Linked DNA regions of Arabidopsis thaliana. The protein of the gene in region 2 interacts with the protein of the main gene of each other region in a pairwise test. Each region holds a gene or a part of one and is shown on either strand. Other genes may lie near its edges.

The links.
Region 1: the proteins of BBX28 (region 2) and AT2G47890 interact in a two-hybrid assay, tested with the Arabidopsis thaliana proteins (one large-scale study listed by BioGRID).
Region 3: the proteins of BBX28 (region 2) and COL3 interact in a two-hybrid assay, tested with the Arabidopsis thaliana proteins (one large-scale study listed by BioGRID).

Annotation. Positions count from the first base shown.
Region 1 is NC_003071.7:19,604,389-19,611,942, reverse strand, and holds AT2G47890 (B-box type zinc finger protein with CCT domain-containing protein), read right to left. Parts: upstream 3,948-7,554; 5' UTR 3,699-3,947; coding exon 3,228-3,698; intron 3,150-3,227; coding exon 2,988-3,149; coding exon of another isoform or gene 2,907-2,987; exon of another isoform or gene 2,905-2,906; coding exon 2,633-2,904; coding exon of another isoform or gene 2,629-2,632; exon of another isoform or gene 2,561-2,628; coding exon 2,467-2,560; 3' UTR 1,656-2,466; downstream 1-1,655. Other genes in the region: TLP3 (tubby like protein 3), read left to right, coding at 1-176, 273-747; AT2G47885 (uncharacterized protein), read left to right, coding at 6,575-6,712; AT2G47880 (Glutaredoxin family protein), read right to left, coding at 6,511-6,819.
Region 2 is NC_003075.7:13,671,849-13,678,840, reverse strand, and holds BBX28 (B-box type zinc finger family protein), read right to left. Parts: upstream 3,305-6,992; 5' UTR 2,989-3,304; coding exon 2,404-2,988; intron 2,312-2,403; coding exon 2,225-2,311; 3' UTR 1,786-2,224; downstream 1-1,785. Other genes in the region: AT4G27300 (S-locus lectin protein kinase family protein), read left to right, coding at 6,493-6,992.
Region 3 is NC_003071.7:10,564,026-10,570,431, forward strand, and holds COL3 (CONSTANS-like 3), read left to right. Parts: upstream 1-2,810; 5' UTR 2,811-2,933; coding exon 2,934-3,512; coding exon of another isoform or gene 3,513-3,596; exon of another isoform or gene 3,597-3,598; intron 3,599-3,615; coding exon 3,616-3,921; 3' UTR 3,922-4,120; downstream 4,121-6,406. Other genes in the region: ARF3 (ADP-ribosylation factor 3), read left to right, coding at 1-57, 433-480, 657-787, 903-936; AT2G24780 (uncharacterized protein), read right to left, coding at 1,656-1,814.

The DNA.
Region 1 (7,554 bases), on a different chromosome or scaffold from region 2:
AACTTTCTGGGGACCAAGTTCACTGTCTATGACGCTCAGCCGACGAATCCTGGAACTCAGGTTACCAGAACCCGTTCAAGCAGACTTCTCAGTTTGAAACAAGTGAGCCCGAGAATTCCATCTGGCAACTATCCTGTAGCACATATCTCATATGAGCTTAACGTCTTGGGTTCCAGGTGATTTATCTCCTTGCTTACAGATACATTGTGAGATAAAACGGTAGTTGCTTAATATGGCTTTTGCTAATTGTGAACATTGTCGTATCATACCAGAGGACCGAGGAGGATGCAGTGTGTCATGGATGCCATCCCTGCATCAGCTGTAGAACCTGGAGGAACAGCTCCAACTCAGACGGAACTTGTCCATAGCAATCTTGATAGTTTCCCCTCATTCTCCTTCTTCAGGTCGAAATCAATTCGTGCAGAGAGTCTCCCTTCTGGTCCATCATCTGCTGCTCAGAAGGAAGGACTGCTTGTCCTGAAAAACAAAGCGCCCAGATGGCACGAACAGCTCCAGTGCTGGTGCCTCAACTTCAATGGGAGAGTCACAGTTGCTTCCGTCAAAAACTTTCAGCTGGTAGCTGCTCCTGAGAATGGACCTGCAGGACCTGAGCACGAAAACGTGATTCTCCAGTTTGGAAAAGTCGGAAAAGATGTGTTCACAATGGATTATCAGTACCCTATCTCTGCCTTCCAGGCCTTCACCATTTGCCTCAGCAGTTTCGACACCAAGATAGCATGTGAATGATTAATTCCATCAAACCCTGTGACTCCGTGTTTATTTAGTTGTATCATGTTGAAAGAGAAGACTGGTTTGGCCTCGTCTTAGAAGTGTGTGTACATAGTTTCAAAAGTCTTGGCAAGTCCATACAAGAGAAGAGTCAAGAATCGAAGACAGTAGATTGTGTTTGTTGTTGTTGTTGTTGCATTGTGTTGCTAGTGATTGTAGTTCCAGACTATGATTTCATTTCTCTGATAATTAATTTGATCGTTTTTTGGGTAATATATATCCACACAGAGCAGAAATTGAGACATTTGAATTATTATATTTAAGATTGAATTTGACAAACATCTGCAATATCCTATACAGAGATAGCTTTAATATTATTCGAGTGACCAATGGAGTCAGATGTGGTCAATAATAGGGTGGCAGAAGTGGCGGTCCTTGTGGCGGTGGGCCGCCAAAGCAATCTCGTAGCAGCCAGCAGCAGCACAGACAAGATAGACTGCAAGATTCCACAGTCAGACTAACCACTTAACTCTTTACAAAACACATAGCAAAACAGAGAATGTCTTTACCAGGAACATATCATGTCGGAGAACCCAGAAAAGAAACCACCAATGGGTGGGAAGAAGCCTGGTCCTCCCGGTGGCAAGAACCCTGGTCCTCCGGGTCCTCCTGGTCCTCCGGGGCCCATGACAGATCTCTGAACAGTGTGGTGAAGATGTCTCCAAGGGATTTAGCGCTCTTAAGACAGGAGAATAAACAGAGAAGGGCTCTTATATACAAGTTTGTTGGGGCCTAATCTTCAACGTCAACAAACAGTAAACGAAGAGTGAGAGATGCAAAATTGCTTCAAGCTGCAACCACTCTTCACCAAATGTTCAAATCCAAAAATATTAACAGTAAAATTAACCATCATTAAAATAAAGAACTCCAAGTCAGATTCATATTTGAATTCTAAGAAGAACATAGAGAATATAACCACAACTCTGATACATGATTTAGTGCTTACTGATTGCTCAACAAGTAAAACCCACTCCAGATTCCTTGTTCAACCAAAACTTACTTTACTTCTCAGATTATCATTGGGACAGATTCATCGTAGCAGGAATGATCTGCCAAAAAGTGTTGTCATTTTTTTTTGTATTTTTATACTGCCTCAGATTATTATATATTGGTAGATTGCAAATAGTTGTTGCCGCGAGCCCATGCCTTTGGATGTTTGTCTTCATCGGCCATCCAATTTCATCTGAATAAAAAAACAAGAGTGAAAGCTGCGACGGCAGCGGAATTTCTGTTTCGCCGGCCATCGGGAAGAGACGCTTTTATATTTGGGCTTTAAAAGAAAATGGCCCAAACATGCCAACCTATATTGGGTTTACTATGTTACAACTTGAGCCCATAATATCAATTACATCAAGCCCTTCTTGCTCCATGGATCTTTAATGGGTCCAATCTCACTTTCTAACATTACAACAAGTTCTTTTGCTGCTTGCTTGTCTTGAGATTGTATATAACTGTGAACCATGTTTTGTTCTGTGCTCGTCCATGCTTGCCCTTTGGCAAATTAGGAATCGGAGGCAAAACAAAAAAAAAACTATTCTTAAGTGACAATTTTGAGAGTGTGGTCGATATACAGTGATAACTCCTAAGCTTAGAATACAAAAACTTATCTGATCATACACACTATATGATTCGATTAATACAAAAGATTTTTGATTATCAAAGTAACCTCATCATCATTCATGGATCTGCTGCCTTGGCGAAACGTCCCCTGATTCTTGTCCTGCTTTCTGCACGAACCTTGCGTGATTCATACCTGATGTGTTTCTCGTACCTGTTTCATCAACACATGATTCAAATCCCAATCCTATTGGTGGTGTCTCACTTTTTAAATTAGCTTGTTTACCTTCGAGACTTCTTCTTTTCTTTGTAGCGAGAGAGAGCAGAGTTCCTCTCAAGACTGTTGATCTCATGTGTCATCGACCTTGTACTAGTGATAACCGGAACCATCACAGTCTCTTCCTCACATCGGTTTAAGCAGCCGGAAACGGGAACCATCACCGATGACTCTCGGTCTACATTCTCAGGTTTCTCATCTGACTCCGACAAGTTCTTTAGCAGAGAGCAATATGGAAAGTCCTCATGATCTTGCTGATCGAACCATTTCAGTCCACTCTCCTTCATATTGACAAGAGAGATTTATAAGCTGGAAAATCATTTGACAAGCACAAGAAAACACAACCAATAGCAGTCTCTATTACCAGCTCGCATGTAGAAAACAAATCCGGCGCTAGGAATTGGAACCCGGCATCGATCTCAGCATCTGGGGTTTCAAATTTCAGACAACCAGGCTCAGATCTGGATAGTCCACGGAGCTGTCGGATCATCTCATCTTTGTATTTCCCGCAGGTGGCGTGACGATTCTGGAGCATTTCAAAACATTTCAGAGAAATATAAAAACCGAGCAATTGGCTCGAGAAAAAAAACAGAGCAAGTTATACCTTAGGCAGAGGAGGAACATCCGTGGCCCGGAAGTTATGAGTACCCGACCCGCCCGAAACAATAAGGTCGTTGAGGCTAACGATCTCAGGTGACTCCCAAAGCAATCCGGAATCGAGAGTGAGGTCATCGAGGCCAACGATGGCCAGCAACTCAGGCACGGAGGGACAGCCGGTAAATCCTTCAAAGGGTCTGCGGCTATGAAGGGAGGAAGAGGCGGTGTGGTGTTGCCAGTCGCAGTTCTGGCAAAGAACAGACCTTTCAGTCTCGCAGAAAAGGGAAGAGGGAGATTCGTTGCAGGAGTCGCAGAGAAGTGACCTGAAGTGTTTGGCGAAGAGTTGGTTGGCGACGTGGACTTGCTTGTCGCAGGCGAGGCAGAGCTTGGCGGAGTCAGCTTTGCAGTAGACAAGAGCCACGGAGGAGTCGCAATAGTCGCAGAGGCGGTCACGCTGATGACCTTCTTCTGCTTCCATGGGAGGAGCTTAGAGGAGACGACGCCGACAGTTTTGGTAAGAAGAAGAAGTTGATCTTTTCTTGGGATATTTTGGGGCAACAAAACCAAATTTGGTGGCTTATGTAAAAGCCATATCTTAATTGCATTCTAGGTAATGAATGACGTTAAAGTGACGACATATTTGCTTAGACAAAGTCAAATACATTTTATTTCTTGGGGAAGAAGCTGGAAACCTACACTCTCTTCACCTTCCCGTGCCTTTCTTTACTCATCTCTCTCACTTAACTCGTGAAAAATAGCTCTCCATTTTTATATATTGATTTTTCTTGATATATCGGATTAGCCTAGAATTTAACATAATATTTTGGCTACCACATATATAATATACAGTACTTGGTTAGATTTTTAAAAAGTAAATAAGATCATAACTAATGAAGGGCTCAAGAGAAAGAGTTAATGAAGTTGACCACGAATACATCTCTGAAGATTTTTTAAACCGGGACTAGTCCAGAAAATGGACGTGGCAAATTAGGGACGTTAGAAAAAGGAAGCTCGTTGTTGAGGCAGCGTTGGCCGATTTGATTAACTTTAAAGAAACAGACAAACGAAAAAAAGGACTTTGTCACGTTACCGACATAGCTAGAATGCTCGATACTGAATCTTTTCTTCTTATATTTGTTTTTTGTTTGCCACTATGTATATTAGGTGAAACGGAAATGGATCCCACCATTAATTTTTGATATTGAGTCCAAATCTGCTTATCTCCACTAATACCTCATCATCGTTCCTCGATAACTATTACTCCATGAAGGTAGTTTTCAATTAGAGTTTCCGTACTGAATTAAACCTATTCAAGATTAGCTAATACCATGCATAGTTTGACTTTTAGGGCACGATGGGGAAAAAGAGACAGGATGGGCAATATCTAACATTCCAGCGACACTAATAACATGATCTCGACAACTACTGCCCCTACTTCTCTTGAACAATAACACATATCACAAGATAATCTAGCTAGGTTGCTTTTCCATCCTCGTAACATACTAACATGGCTATAAAAACTCATTTTTCAAAAATCGAAATTGATTCTGAAGCCTTTAATAAAAATACACACAACTAAACTGAAACCAAATGTTCTACCATTTCACTTTGGTGGACTAAACTATTCGCATGAGCTACGTTCCTTTTTTAATTTTTGATTTTTTAAAAAATGGTCCACTTTCCAAGTAATCATCGGTTCTCGATATTTTCTTGGACACGAATCTTGAGCCTATAGGTGGATGCTTTTTTCACGCGCCGGTCAAAGAATCTTGAATCTTATAACAATGACAACAAAGTGAATATGGTTCTTAGTTCTTACACGTTCTGTACAACTTCCGATTAGATTCTCCTATATATTTCCCACGATCCCAAGAAGTTGGAGGTCAAGAAAAGTTGTTCCACACATCATGTAAAGGGATTCTACCTTTATTATTTCTTTTCGACCTTTTGAACTCAGTATAATCATATTTTCTTCAAAAAGAAATCTTCAAGGTCTATATACTACTATATAACTATAGAGGCTTTTACACGCTTCTTTTGATTGGAGAATCTTGAAGTAGTTGATTTTGGTAACTTTAAGTAACTAAAGGGAAATAATTATGGGTAACATATATAAGCATGCAAAGCGTAAATGTCAAATCCATTATTTAGTAACTAATTTACGTGCTTAAACCTGTGAGTAGAGTTTAATCTCAAGTGATAAAAAGCGGAACTAAGGAGAATAATATGCTTCGTTATCTATAAAGCTGATGAGAGGATCGTTAATGTACCGTATATAAAACAACTATTCATATGATTCGTTAGTAAAAAAAATTGTATTTTTTTCTTCTAACATTGTATGTTTTTATTGATTATGAGCATATATGTTTAATTTACTACACGAGCAACTAACGAAAAAACAAAGAGTTCATATATATAAAAAGGTGTACAATTTTTCATTAGAAAATAATAGTAAATTAAACGTGAAGATACTCAAGAATAAAGGAACGCAAAAAGAGCAGTGATTTTGTGTAGCCATGATATACTTGGACCGCGAAAGATCTTCCATCCTCTTCCTCAAACTGCTTTAGTTGCATTAGGCCACTGGTATCTTATCATTGTTTTTCTTCTTACCAAATTTGTATGGTGGAGACTAATTAAGTCTATTCTGATCTAATATTTTTCACATTCGATTTATATATACTCTAATGGGCACTGATTTATCCTTGATTCAAAAGTACGCTCTAAACACAACATCACAAAGGCTAAATCTGTATATCGCCCGATATAATGTTAACTATCAATAGGTCTAACTAATAATGATGAAGCCAACTTATACATTACATCTTGATAATTAGAAGACGAGTTCATGCATGTGTTGGCCATTCACATTTTTATTCTAGCTACTGTCAGTGTATGTGAATATTTCTAAATAAGAAAATGGTTTGTGTGTAGCCTCCTTCTGATACCATGTTAAAAACAGACAAGTATAAACGGTTTCTTGCCTTATTATATGGAAAGCCCTAAATTACTCAACATACACAAGAGATCGTTACTAATTGTGTGGGAAAAAATGTAAAAGTTTCAATACTATTTTCATTAGCATAAACAGAGAGTCATACATCAACATACACCAGTTGATTAACTAAACTGAAACACGAGAGAAGCTAAACAATAGAACATACAAACGATAAACATTAATTCAGACGAAGTCCTCACTGAATATCTAGCTAGCTCACACTCTAGCTGTAACTGTGTTTATTCTCACTAGCTAATAATTAGATATTATATATTGAGTTGGTTTAATTTTGCTAGTAAAGGATGGACTGATAGGGTTTGATCAATGGGACAAGAGAGCCACTAAGGTGAAGGGACATGACTTCATTGGTGGAGCCAACAAGCTTGCCTCCGACAAAGACAGCTGGAACCGCCGTGGAACAGCCGAGCCGGAGAAGAGCCTTCTCGATCTCACGGCAGTCCGGGTCGTTGTCGATCTCGTGGATGGTTGGTTGAACCCTAAGGTCACGGAACAGGATTTGAACGGCGTAGCAGAGACAACATGAGCTCTTCGTGAAGATCACCACTCCTTTCTCTGAAGACATTCTCATCACTTTGTCCATGATCCTCAGAAGTCTGAAGATCTGATGATGGCTAGGGGTTTAAACTTTAGCGTTTTGATGTATGTTTTGTTTTGTTTTGAGTATGTAAAAAGCTTGACATTTGCTCGCCTATTTATAGGAAGGGAGTGAGTCTTTCGAGTGTGTTTTTTTCTTGCTAATTAGAAAGAAAAGACCATTTAAAATGTAGTTTATTTCTAAGAAAATATCAAAAAGGAAAGATAAAATATCAGATGCCTATTTGAGAATTTTTCTTCTTATTTATATTCTGTTTGACTGCACAAGTTGCAAACATTACTCTCACTTCTAAGTTATTCAATTTATTTTTATTTCTACGGTAACGCTGCAGTTGTTTTGATCGTCATAACATGTTGATTAGTAATTTACGAATACGATTCGAAAAATTGTAATCAGTTTCACCTTTTTGTGGGTTAATAATAGTATACGCATTGCCAGTGACATAAATATAATTAATCTAAATAATAAGCACATGCATGCATGGACTAATTGATGAAATAAGTATGAACGGAATGCATATGATAGTAATTTTGAAACACTAACATAGATATGAAAGTTGAAGCTAGCTTATCAAATTGATTACAACAATGATAGAAATCAGACGATTTCTTAATAACTTTTGGCTAAGCGATTTTCTTAAACTGCTGATATTCAAATCAATGTGACAAGAAATATAGCATGATTAATACCCCTAGAAAAAGAAAAGAGGCTTGTCAATTT
Region 2 (6,992 bases):
AGGTTCACCCTCTTCACAGTCAGGTAAAATATAAACAACCTTTTCAACTTTGAGTGGTCTCCACCGACCATTCTTTCGGGTTTTTTTCTTATTCTTTTGGAATTCGTAGGTACAACGATGGATGAAACAAAACGGATTTGTGCAGAGGAGTGTGTTTGTGTGTTTGTTTATTGCTATCTTTTGCAATATTGAAAAGTCTCTGGAATCTCCTCTGGATTATTTATTCCCAGTCCTTGTTCTTCTTATAATTCTCCATGTATGATTTTCACATTTAAACAATGCCCTTTTCCATGTATGACTTTCACATTTAAACAATACCCTTTTGGGGTTATGACCTTAATCTTCAATCTAATTTGATATCCGATGAGATACTAAAAGATGGAATCTATTTTGGTTTTTAACACTTAAAACAAATCGACCAAAGTATTCAATTATTCATACTAATTGTTCATCCGTTTCCAACATTTATGTTACAACATAGATTATTTACAACATTTATGTCACTCACACTTTACACATAATAATATGGTATGAATTAATGTTAAAAAGGATATGCTCAACTCTGTCCTCTTTGCATGGTTTCCATTCTAGATAAATATCTGCACAGAGGATGTTTTTATTGTTCCTTTTTCATTATTGTGATCTACACTGGCTGACTTAGAGCTCTTCCGCACTTCTCTTTCCCTAACAACTCAAAGTTTCTTAAAAGAGAAAAAAAAACAAGTTTGCTAAAGAATTATCATGACAAGAAAATCAATTTAGAAGAAAAGCACAAAGGAACAAAAAGAAGAGAAGAGAAATTCACATATGTATTGTGACAATTCTCGATTCTCATGCATACATTTTCTCATGAGGAAGCTACCAAATATGGAACTAATCAAAAAATCATTTCTATACTCTCGCATGTTTAATTTATTGATCCAGTCATAGAGTTTCAAATGACAAGTTTCATATCTCCTGTTTCCAGTTTTGAATTATTATATTTGGAATTGACGATGTCGTGTGAATGTAAATTACGTTATGGTTGAATAAAATGAATGAATGTTAGGTTTGTAGTTAATTAGTGTAGTTTAATCTAATAGTCAAACTCAACGTACGGGATAAAGACTGATCCGTTAGGTTTTTGGTTTGACTTTAGGAATTGGAACTATGGACTAATGGTTGAAGTATTTGACGCTAGTCATGCGTTGATAGTGAAACCCAGCGAATTTCCTAACAAATATTTTCTACTTTCTTATATCGATTTTATAATGAGTTTAAATTTCGAATGTTTTGTTTTGTTTTGTTGGAATCGTATAAAAACTTATAAATTGAAACAATATAAGAATTTGCGTTAAAAGAATATGTAGTTTAAATGAGAACCACATGTTTTATTCAAATTAATTCGAGAGAGACCCAACTGTCCAACCCCCACAACACCAGTTCCTCGGTAAGCCAGAGAATCAAGTGGTTAAAAAAAAGAAGGGATAAACGGTTTTGATGTATGTATATAGGACCCAAATGACACACACGAAACCAATAGGAGTAAAATTTTAAATTAAAATCGAAAGAACTATGGTGAACAAAGATGTGATCCTGTCATGTGAATGAAGAACATGGTGAGATAACGTTATAAGGTAAAACATGGGGGTGTCAATATTTTATGGACCATCAAACACAGTTCACAGACGCGGCAGATATGACAGGTTCAATGTTCTTGGCGAATGAATGTAACCTCAAGGACCCATTACATTATAAAAATCTCTCGAAATTTTATCATATTTAATTTCATTTTCTTTGTAGTCCCCACAATTGAGTGGTCGAAATTACAAAGCAAATCATATACTTTATTTTTACGGTATGTGTATACCATTGTGTCCATCTGCCACCAATCTCTCCCCCATTCCTTTTGATCCATTGAATATAATCATATAACATAAGTCATAAACTTACGAATCGAAATTAATTTACTTACGTAGATTAACAAAAAAAAAATCAACATAATAATGATATTGATAAGAAAAATAAAAAGTTAAGATTTGATTTTGTACGACATTCAAAGAAAGAAAGAAACTACCTCATCTCTAAAACAAAGTATTGTCAGAAAACTGAACGGTGGTGATTTACTTAAACAAGAAAAAAAAAGGAATCAACGGCTGAGATCTCTTCTTGTTTTGGAGATCGCAAAGATCGGAGAAGACGATGTATCGGCGCCGTTCATTCTGACGATACGGTAGAGTGTGAGTTAAACAACAACCGTTGATTTAAACGCCGATCGCTTCAACGGCCGAGAATAGTTTGACCCTTGAGCTGAAGAGCTTCCGATCTCATCCTGCATTTTCCAAAACAACGAAACCGATAATTAAAACCAAAACTTTCTCTGTTAATTTCCCGACAAAATAGTTAAAAAAGATAGATCCATACATCGGAGCAGAGAAGATCTGAATTCTCTCTAGCCCTCGTCCTCTTCGTCACTGAACCTCCGCTTCCTCCGTCAGAAGATGAAGAACTCATCACCGGAGGAACTTGCGCCGCCGCAGACCACGGCACAACTTGATTCTCCGCTTCCTCATCATCACCATCCTCATCATCATCCTCATCCTCATCGTCGCTGTACTCTTCATCCTCATCTTCTTCCTCATCATCATCGTAAGACTCCGCGTCGTCACCGTCACCGTGATCTTCTCTAATCCGATCTTCTTCGGACTCGAAACTATTAACCTCCTCCTGACCACGATTCTCCGATAAAACTCTGTTTCCACGGCCACCGCCGGCGTTTTTAAGAGCGACGCATGACTCGCAGACGGAGAAAGTTGGGCCAAGACGAAGCCCAGTAGCTTTCCACGGCGTAAGAGACTGACAAGCGCTACAGAGAAGACAACGCGTGTGTTTAGCTACCAAGAAATTAGCGCCGTGAACTTTACCGTCGCAATCCCAACATAAACTAGCTTGATCTGACTCGCAATACATTCTTGCAACACCGTTACATAAATCACACTTCTTCCCCATTTTAATCAAAATCAAACTCTTTCTCTCTTTCAAGTTTCTGTGGTTGTTCGTTTTGTGTCTATGCTTTGGTTCCTTGGAGAGATAAGGAAAGAAGAAGAAGAATAGGAAAGTGCAAGTTGCAGGATTTGGGATATTTTTCGTGGCGAGTTTTCTGTGATTCAACAATTCTTTGGAGGCTAGTTTCGTCTTTTTCTGCCTTCTGCTAAAAAATCTATTTCTCTTCTTTGGTTTCACAATGACTCTATTTTATATAGCACCTTCCTTTTTTTTTTATTCTGTGGTTAGTATCCATTTCATTTCAATTTAACTTTGTAATAACGTATAGTATTTAATCAATTAAGGATTGGTTCAACTTAAAAATCTTTTTGCTTTAGAGATGGGTTTATCACTTTAACCTTTATTTGAGATTTTTGTTTGGATAATTATCAGATCTATATCTGCTGCAATTATTTAAATTACTTGAGTCAGTAATGTTTTCTTTATTGTTTTTAGCTTTATCCTTGTGTTTTATTTTTTCTTGTGGATAAAAAATACTGTTTCACATTTTCTACTTAGAATCATTACAGTTTAAGTAAAACACATTAATTATGCGTTATTAGGATAAATAAGTTTAAATGATTTTTGAAAACCAGTTATTAATGCGTATGGGCCAAAGCCAAACCCCGTTTGTACGTGGCGACAAACTCATGGTTCAGTTTCGAGATATTTTTTTGGGAGAGATTTATTTAGTCGATGACGTGGCGAGATCTCAGCCGGGGAAGGAGGAGAGCGAGATTCTGTCCCGTCCTACGTGGACGAATCAGGTTCTCAATGGGCTTCGTAGCCACGTGAGCCCACCTGGGATTTGTCTGGACCATAACACAAGTTTAATGGGCCCCACGTATCTTTGTTCAATTATCTTTCCCTCTTTTTTTATAAACCACTTGTTTTGTTTTTTACTTCTCTCCCATACTTCTTCGCTTCCCAAACTGATCCAAAACATCTGTGTTTCTTGCGAGGATAAGATAACAATGAATTTTTAAATTACAAAATAATATATCGGTATTGGGGGAGAATAAAAAACTTTCTAATATGGTACATAGTAGGCGAGTATTTGTTTACTTGGACTATAATTGTTTAATGTTTTTTTTTTTTGTTAGATATGGTTATTTAATCGTATAGTTGATTTATTTGTGGCTCTCACGAACCCATTGTAAGAAAAACAAATGTTGATTAAACTCTGGCCACATAAAAGATTGTGCTTATGTGGAATGCTTTGATTTGGGGAAATCCTACGTGGCGATCGACGGTGGTGTGAAGAATCAAAGGAAGATGAGATGTCATGATGAGAGCCACGGATACACAAAGTCTCTGGTGAGTGGGTGTGGTTGTGGTTATGGCTCATTATTGTGGCTTTTCTTTTTCTTTTTTTCCTCCATTGTGTGGATAAGAATTTTGGAACAAGTCAGAACTTTGAAGAAGAGAGATTCATATTCAAAATGTGTGTGTATATATAATATTGTCAGAATAGTTCAAATACATCCCTTCTTGTTCTCATCTTTTAAGAGATGTGGCATGTATCATGTATGTATGGGGCTATGCGATATGCAGTATTGATGCCAATTTTTGTCAAAAGAGTTTTTTTTTGTGTGTTTTATTAAAAAAAAATATTCCAAATAAAATTAAACGCCAAAATTTGAAAAACTAGCTGTTTGTTTTCTGTTTATCTTTGATTTTATTAACTTAACTATTCAACCACTAAAATTAAAAATGCTGGATTGTTTGTTGTTTTAAACCAGCTTAATGAATATAAAAGCACGCCTATTTTGTTTGATTGGTGATCGATCTAAATATCTAATAGTCTAGTCATCCCATCCAATTTGGATTCGAAATCCTATCTTTGGTTAGAACGATCAAATTATGCCAATTTGTTTGTTAAACATATATATTTATTAGAAGACTACCATTTCATTTTAATTTAGAGAAGTAACCAATGGTTTCGCTTATGTCAAAGTCTTTGATTCAAGGATCGATAAAATTTGAATAAGAAAATGTTGTAACGAACAAATGAACATTCAATGATCCATCAATAAATGTTTTATGTATATATATATATATATATATATTCTATATTTGAATAAAACCAATCAATAATTCTACTAATGCTCCCTACAGAAAAACCACACGTTAAAAACCCTTAAAATATATCGACACGATTGTGAGAAAAAGACTAGCAAAGAGACAATGCATAAGCTAAGAAGGCCTAAGGGATGATGATTAACATGGGCCTCTTTTTGTACACGTTTTTTCTTTCCTTTCCTTCTTTGCGTTCACGTTTCTTGGTACACGTATCTCTTACAGTCTCCACGTTGAAGTGTAAGCATTACAGAGCTCTCTCGCTAGAGACAACGATGATCTTATACCTGTTACGTTCATGTGCCAAAATTAGGTCTTCATTTTCTATTGGTACATGTCAGTTTGGGCCATCCGGTCACTATTATACACATATGGTCTATATTTTTAAAAAAACTTCTTACTTGCCAAATAATTGGTCCACTAAAAAATAGTCGGAAATTACAATAAACCGGACCCTTAAAATCAATAGGAAAACTCTGGATCTTGGCTTCAACTACTATTGTTGTAAACTAATGTTTTTTCGCCTCCAAATTCCAATCTCTATTTTCCTAGTGAAATACATTTTATTAACAAATTTGCGAATATGTTAAAGATTTTGAATACTAGTAGCCAAAAGAAAAAAAAAAGAAAAAACTGTTGTTCATGGAGGCTTATTTAATTTCTAGAAACGAAGTTTCTGTTCGATAGAGGTTCATCTCGATCGATCATCAAGGAATCGACTTGGAGAAAATAGACAAGAAAAGGTTTCAGTCCACTACGAAAAGCATACTTAAGAAAATGGAAGCGTGGGCCGTATATGGGCCTTAAAACAATTAGATACAGGCCAGCTACGTCTCTAAGTTGAGTAGTATTTGCGTTGACTGAGCCATGTCACGTCAGGACTTCACCTGTGGGTCGCCAACGATTGGCTATATCCACCAGATCAATAATGCAATGCATGAATTTTACTTGAATCGTCGCAATGTACATATCAAACTATCAATGATCTGATTCTGACCACTCGCTCCCTTATATGGTGACTAAGTCAAGGAAGATTAGCCACATCTATTTATTGCTTTTGTCCTTGCTAGGCTTATACACTCTTAATCTGAGAAACTTCCAACATGGCCATCAAAACTTAATGAGGAATCATATCTTGTCTCTGGCGTTCAAACAAAACACCCTAATAATTTTTTTTTTCATTCTGAAGAAAAGTTTTATCATTGAAGTTCAACATCCACAGACAATCTGCATTGAATTTATCTTGACTTGTCGCTTATGCCAAGTTGGGTTGTACGAAGTTGACAAAAAAAATAAAAAAATCTGTATGTGATTTTCATAATGTGTATTATAATGATTGCTTTATTTAGTAAAGAGTCACAAAACTAGAAAGAAAAAAGGTTTCATTCGATGAGAGAAATTCATTCTCTGTTTTCGTTATCTCTGTTCTTAATTTCATCTTCTCTCTCTGTTGCTTTGGATTATAATGTCATCACTCCAAAAGAATTCCTTAAGGATGGAGATACCCTTAGTTCTCCAGACCAGGTTTTCCAACTTGGGTTCTTTAGTCTTGACCAAGAAGAGCAACCTCAACATCGGTTTCTTGGCTTGTGGTACATGGAACCATTTGCAGTCGTTTGGGTGGCCAACCGAAACAACCCTCTCTACGGCACATCTGGATTCTTAAACTTGAGTTCCCTTGGCGATCTTCAGCTATTCGACGGTGAACACAAAGCCTTGTGGTCATCATCATCATCATCAACAAAAGCTTCTAAAACAGCAAATAATCCTCTCTTGAAGATATCATGTTCAGGGAATCTCATATCTAGTGACGGAGAAGAAGCTGTGTTGTGGCAGAGTTTTGATTATCCCATGAATACAATACTCGCGGGTATGAAGCTTGGGAAAAA
Region 3 (6,406 bases), on a different chromosome or scaffold from region 2:
TCGAGTGATACAGATAGAATCGGGGTGGCGAAAGAGGAGTTTCATGCAATTTTAGAGGTAAAGTACTGCTGAGGCTTCCTCTTCTTATACTGTTGTATTATTTTGTGATGGACTTCTTGCATCCAAAAGTAATTGAGGTAAAACGATGATGATGTATATCGGTAGTTGAATGGAAATACAATATTGGTTCAGTTTCTTGTTTAGGACTTGTTATAGATGCTTGTAAGTTGTATATCAAGTATTGTTAGCCTTCTAATAGGTGATACTGAAATTGAAGTATCTCGGTTAGTACTGGACGGAAAGAACAAGTGATCATTTCTCTCTGTAGATCTTGCTAGCTAATCTTAAACTCTCAGCAACAATGCTTACTTGAGTTTACCTCTGCCACTGTCAGCATTTAACTCGCACTATCTTTTCAACTATGTTTTATAGGAAGATGAATTGAAAGGTGCGGTGGTTCTGATATTTGCAAACAAGCAGGTTAGTAGTCTCTAAATGTTTGCTCTTCCGATTAGTTTGGGCTGATTCATCTGGAAATCTGTATTGGTTTCTGTTGCTAAAAAGCTTTAGTTTGTTTTGCATGCACAAGACACTTTTTTGCTGATGAAAAATCTATAACTATTTGGTCTGAGTTTCATTAAATCGACTTAATTTAGGATCTTCCCGGTGCACTCGATGATGCGGCTGTTACAGAAGCCTTGGAGTTGCATAAGATAAAGAGTCGTCAATGGGCAATCTTCAAAACTTGTGCTGTGAAAGGCGAGGGACTTTTCGAGGGATTGGACTGGTAAGCACATTCTGAAACCGAACCATTTTCTTGGTCCCATTATTGAAACACTGAACCCATTTCTTTATGCATTTCTTCTCAAATATTCTTCTCTCATTTCCATCTTGATCTTCAGGTTGAGTAATACATTGAAGTCGGGAAGTGGCTAAAATCATCGTCATACACCAATCTGTCACATTTCTCAAGAGTGTAACTTTGATCATTTTTACTTATTGGTTTGTTTAGTATCTTTTTTTTATCTTAGTTCTTCATCTTAAAGAGTTAATATCAATGACATGTTCACTTAATATTCTCTTTTTGTTGTTTTGTTTCATTCTGAAAGAAAAAACCCAACACAGATTTTTGATTGAGACCCATAAGGGGTAATATCATCACTTTTTAACATGAAATATTGAACTGATTCCAGACGAAACACTGAATTGGTTCCAAGTGGTGTTTTTGCCGACTTGGATTCAGAAGCTCAAACGTTTGGGGTTTTAGAAGTCCTAATTTATGTAATTTGTCTGCTCCTTAATTAATGATAAAATTGTTGACACTATTATGCCATTTAGTAGATAGTAAGATTTTTTTTTAATGTTTTCAAAGAGGCAAAAATAATTTGCAAGGAATATATAGAACTAGCAAGATACTAGCCTAAGCTATTTGATTAACTTTCCTGCTAATAATGCTAGTATGCTACCAAAACAAAACACAAGCGATTTGTGAAGCTCTTTCTTAAAGAGTCCGGCTCGGCGTTTAGAGAATGTAACTTGACGGTGGCTCTCTTTCTTGATCTTACCATAGAATCTTTTATATGGCGGGTGTTGAGCAAATTAACTTAAACAAATTTGTTTTATTATCGTAACTCAATAAAAATTACGATTTCTAGTCATAAACAAAAGGCTGTACATAGCATTAGGCCTGCTACGGATCCGGATATCCGGGTTTTTTGGAGTATCTGGATCCGTATCCGTATCCGGCGGATATGTAGTTTTAGGATCCGCATCCGGATCCGTAAACCTCGGATATCCGGATTTCGAATATCCATGAAAAAACCGGATATCCGCGGATATTCGAGATCCGTTTATTTTTGGGAACAAATTCAATTTCCTATTTCACCAACCAGATTGAATTCACCACCAAAAGAGATCGACGTGTGCCCGACATCAGACTTTGCAAGGCACATACCACCAAGATCTCGTCTTTAACGGTGTCCAATCTGCTCCTCCTCATTCATCTCCGCCATCGACACTTTGAATCCCATGTATCATCATTCCCGTAAGTAAACTTCCGTCCATAAATTTACGACGGTGGAACCGAGATGAATATGGTGGGGAGACGGTGATGAAGATTACATGGAGATGAGATGGAGATAGTGAAGGAAATGGTGATGAAGGAAACATTCACGGCGGCAGAAAAAATATGTTATGAAACCCTAATAGTTAAGTCCCAAACAAACTCAAATTCCATCATTTTGTCGTAGTGGGCTAATATTGGACTATTGGGCTTAACATTGATAATGTGTATTTGATTAAGCCCAGGATACAAATATAACTTAAGCCCATAATACAAATATGTAGACATATTGAACGGATGCGGATATTCGGCTCTGATTTTTTTCATAATCTGGATCCGTATCCGGATCCGCCGGACTCGTATCCAGATCCGCCGGACTCGTATCCAGATCCGCCGGACTCGTATCCGGATCCGTCGCACCTAATTATTCGGTTTTCCGGATCGGATCACGGATCCGGATTCGAATACCCGCGGATAACGGATTTTAGTCCCAGGCCTACATAGCATCTACGGTAATTATTAACTATTAAGTAACCATGGGTAAATTCGAATTTCCTTGCCGACAAAAAGAAGGAACTTTCCATTCCTTTTGTGAAAGTCCGTGAGAACATGAACCCAAGTTAATACACCTTCACATGATTAGCCCCACTTCTCCTAAATGTCTCGTAAACTCCAACTATTCGGCTAAGATTCACTAACGTGTCATCTCTCTATTCGCTATTCCCAGATCTCCATGACCCACTTCACTCCCTGCGCGTCCGGTACAATCGCCACTTCCATAACACCAAGAGTCAATACAAAAAAAAAGCCGACTCCATTATTATCCCTCTCTCTACAAAAAAAACAGTAGAGAGAGATATAGAGAGCATCAATGGCGTCGTCGTCAAGACTTTGCGATTCGTGCAAATCGACGGCAGCAACTCTATTCTGCCGCGCAGACGCCGCGTTTCTCTGCGGCGACTGCGACGGTAAGATCCACACAGCTAACAAACTCGCATCACGTCACGAACGAGTTTGGCTATGTGAAGTATGCGAACAAGCACCAGCACACGTCACGTGCAAAGCTGACGCCGCTGCGTTATGCGTCACGTGCGACCGTGATATCCACTCAGCTAATCCACTCTCTCGCCGCCACGAGCGCGTACCAATCACTCCTTTCTACGACGCTGTAGGTCCAGCAAAATCCGCTTCCTCCTCCGTCAATTTCGTAGATGAAGATGGCGGTGACGTCACTGCTTCGTGGCTTTTAGCTAAAGAAGGAATCGAAATCACTAATTTGTTCTCCGATCTTGATTATCCGAAGATTGAGGTAACGTCGGAGGAGAATAGCTCCGGTAACGACGGAGTTGTTCCTGTGCAGAATAAGTTGTTTCTTAACGAAGATTACTTCAATTTCGATCTCTCTGCTTCCAAAATTTCTCAACAAGGATTCAATTTCATCAACCAAACTGTACGAATCTCTCTCTATCTTCTTAAGCTTCCATGGATCTGGAAAATTTTCAGATCTAGATCTGAAAGTTTGGATCTGATTTGAGTTTGTGAAATGTTGTTAGGTTTCGACGAGAACGATAGATGTACCGTTGGTGCCTGAAAGTGGAGGAGTGACGGCGGAGATGACGAACACGGAGACGCCAGCTGTGCAGTTATCACCGGCGGAGAGGGAAGCAAGGGTTTTGAGGTATAGAGAGAAGAGGAAGAATCGGAAATTTGAGAAGACGATTAGGTATGCGTCGCGTAAAGCTTACGCTGAGATGAGGCCGAGAATCAAAGGACGTTTTGCTAAGAGAACAGATTCGAGAGAGAATGATGGTGGAGACGTCGGAGTTTATGGCGGATTCGGTGTTGTTCCGAGTTTCTGATATTTTCCGGTGAAAGAAACATGGTAGTAGTATATCGGTTAATAGCAGATTAAGGATAATTAAAACTAAAATGTTTCCTGATTTAATCAGGGGCTAAGTTATTGTTAGAAGATTGTTGTTTTTTGAATTAATTCTCACAATTGTATCCTAAATTATATAGTTTACTTAATGTTGAACTAATAAATTTTGATTTACAATCTCTGTAAGAAATCGATATGCAAAAATAAATGAGTTGAGCTATTAAGATTAACATTCATATAGAACACAAACTCATACAATCAGCTGTGGTGGTGTCCGAGACTGCAAAATTCAAGAGGCGATGGAGGCCAACGTTGATGGTGAACGAGGCCAGATTCGAGAAGCAAAAACTTGTCACGCGGTTGAAGAGAAAGAGCATTTAAAGAAGAGGTGGTTGTGGGTTTCGATACCGTTAGAGCAAAGCACACAAGCTGCAGAGATATTCAGTCCCCAACTTATGAGCCTGTCTTTCTTAAGCAATCTACCTTTCAATGCAAGCTAAGTGATGAAAGAATACCTTGGCACTGCATTCTTGAACCAAACAACCTTATTCCAAGGAATCAAAGTAGAATGTGCTCGTAATTGCTCTCAAGTTTCCTTAGAAGAGAAAAATTGTGCAAAGAAACCAAACATTAAGATATTTAGTTATTAATGAAAATTCAAACATGAGAAAAAACTTAATCAAACGAAAGCAACACAAAAGAAGAAGAAATCTACATATTCTAAAATAACAAACCACTAATTCTCTTTTAGTAAATGGTATAACCTTGAAGGAGAACCCTTTCAAGTATTAGATAATCTAATCATTTTTCGTCGTCATTACTCATAAAGTGTCGAAATATCACTTCATATCAATTGGTTTGCGTAAAACTGACCATACGTCTTCAATGATTGTCATATCAAATGATTCGAAAAGTGTTGGCATATGCATACTCTAGTTTTCATAATGAATCGATTCTCAGACTCTTAGCAAACAAAGGAACATAACATCATCATAATAAAATTTTGAATGAAGTCAGAAACCGCAAATCAAAACTGTGAAGATATGAACTTGATAAGCAAGTTTAAAGCTAACTCAAGTTAATATAAGTTGAACTTGGGTTGAGTTAAATGCTTTTGGATCATAAAGGAGGGTGTCCACGATGTTGCAAGGGCTGGCACAAGTTAGGACAGTCTTCTCATCTTGTGTTTCAAGCAGCCACGTTTGGCGTTTCAAGATGCAACCTTTAAGGTTTACTTTAGCACAAGAAGCTCTAGTTTTATTATCACTATCAATTCACAACAATGTTATTGTGGCCCAGCAGTTAAGTCTCTGTTCCACTTAAGCTTTGACTTATAACTCTTGTAGTCACCTTCTTCTTCATAGTGGAAAGATGTGGATCGAAAGAAAGATCATAACCGGACGTAGCGGTTCGTTAATACCGTGAACCAGGTGAACAAATATTTGTGTGCTTCTCTCTTCTTCTCCCTTTCTTCTACTCTGTTATTTCCTCTTATTCTTCTCCATACTTTGCGTGATATGTTTTTCGTGAGTTGGTGTCAATGACAAAGAGCTGAAAGCTAGAGCCTTTGAGAGGTTAAAAACTTTATGTAATATTGTGACGACAAGATCTAAAAATATATGCGGGGATCAACTTAATATTTTTAAAATAAGTATATACATAAGAGATAAAACTAAGTATGCCATTATTTTAAAATTTAAATTTATCATGATATATTGTAATTAACAGTTTAAGTAATGGTAGCAATGTCCAAATGAATTGTGAACTGTCGGGATCAATGACATTGAAATTCTACAATTCATTGAAATATTATTGAGATAATATTATTCTTTGTGTCAATAGGAGGAGAAAAATATATCACCATTTTCGGATGTCAACCAACCGATTTTGACATTCAAAACATATTGTACAAAATATGCTATTACTAATAAAATTCAGTATAAATTTATCATTTTATTTGGTAGCAATTTCTACATAAAATCTGAACTTCCGAGATAAATGGCTTCAAAATTCTCAACCATATGGAATTTTTTTTTTTTTTTTTTGTGACATTAGGTGAAACTAAACCAAAATATATGAAAATAATTTCCTACATTTTATAAATTGAATTTTTTTTTTCTTCTAATTAACTGAATTGAGAAGGGGTTTTCAAGAGATGACAAGTACTACTCTTGTAAACAGAGAAGAAATACTCAAAGTTATATTCTCATTCTTAACCTTCTCATTACATAGCTTTATCTATTTATATGAAAAGCTAAGGGATACAATGGTTGAACTAGAGTTTTAGTAAATGTTTTGATGAATGACAAGTGTCTTCATCTGCACATGGCTGGAGATTCAAGGACTGTGAAGCTATTCTTCAATTGGAGTGTAGCGTGAGCTGGAGTCGACATTTTGACAGTACGAAGCTGAGTACATGACGACGATGCTCTGTTACCGTTAAAGTCTGAAGAAGCTTTTACACT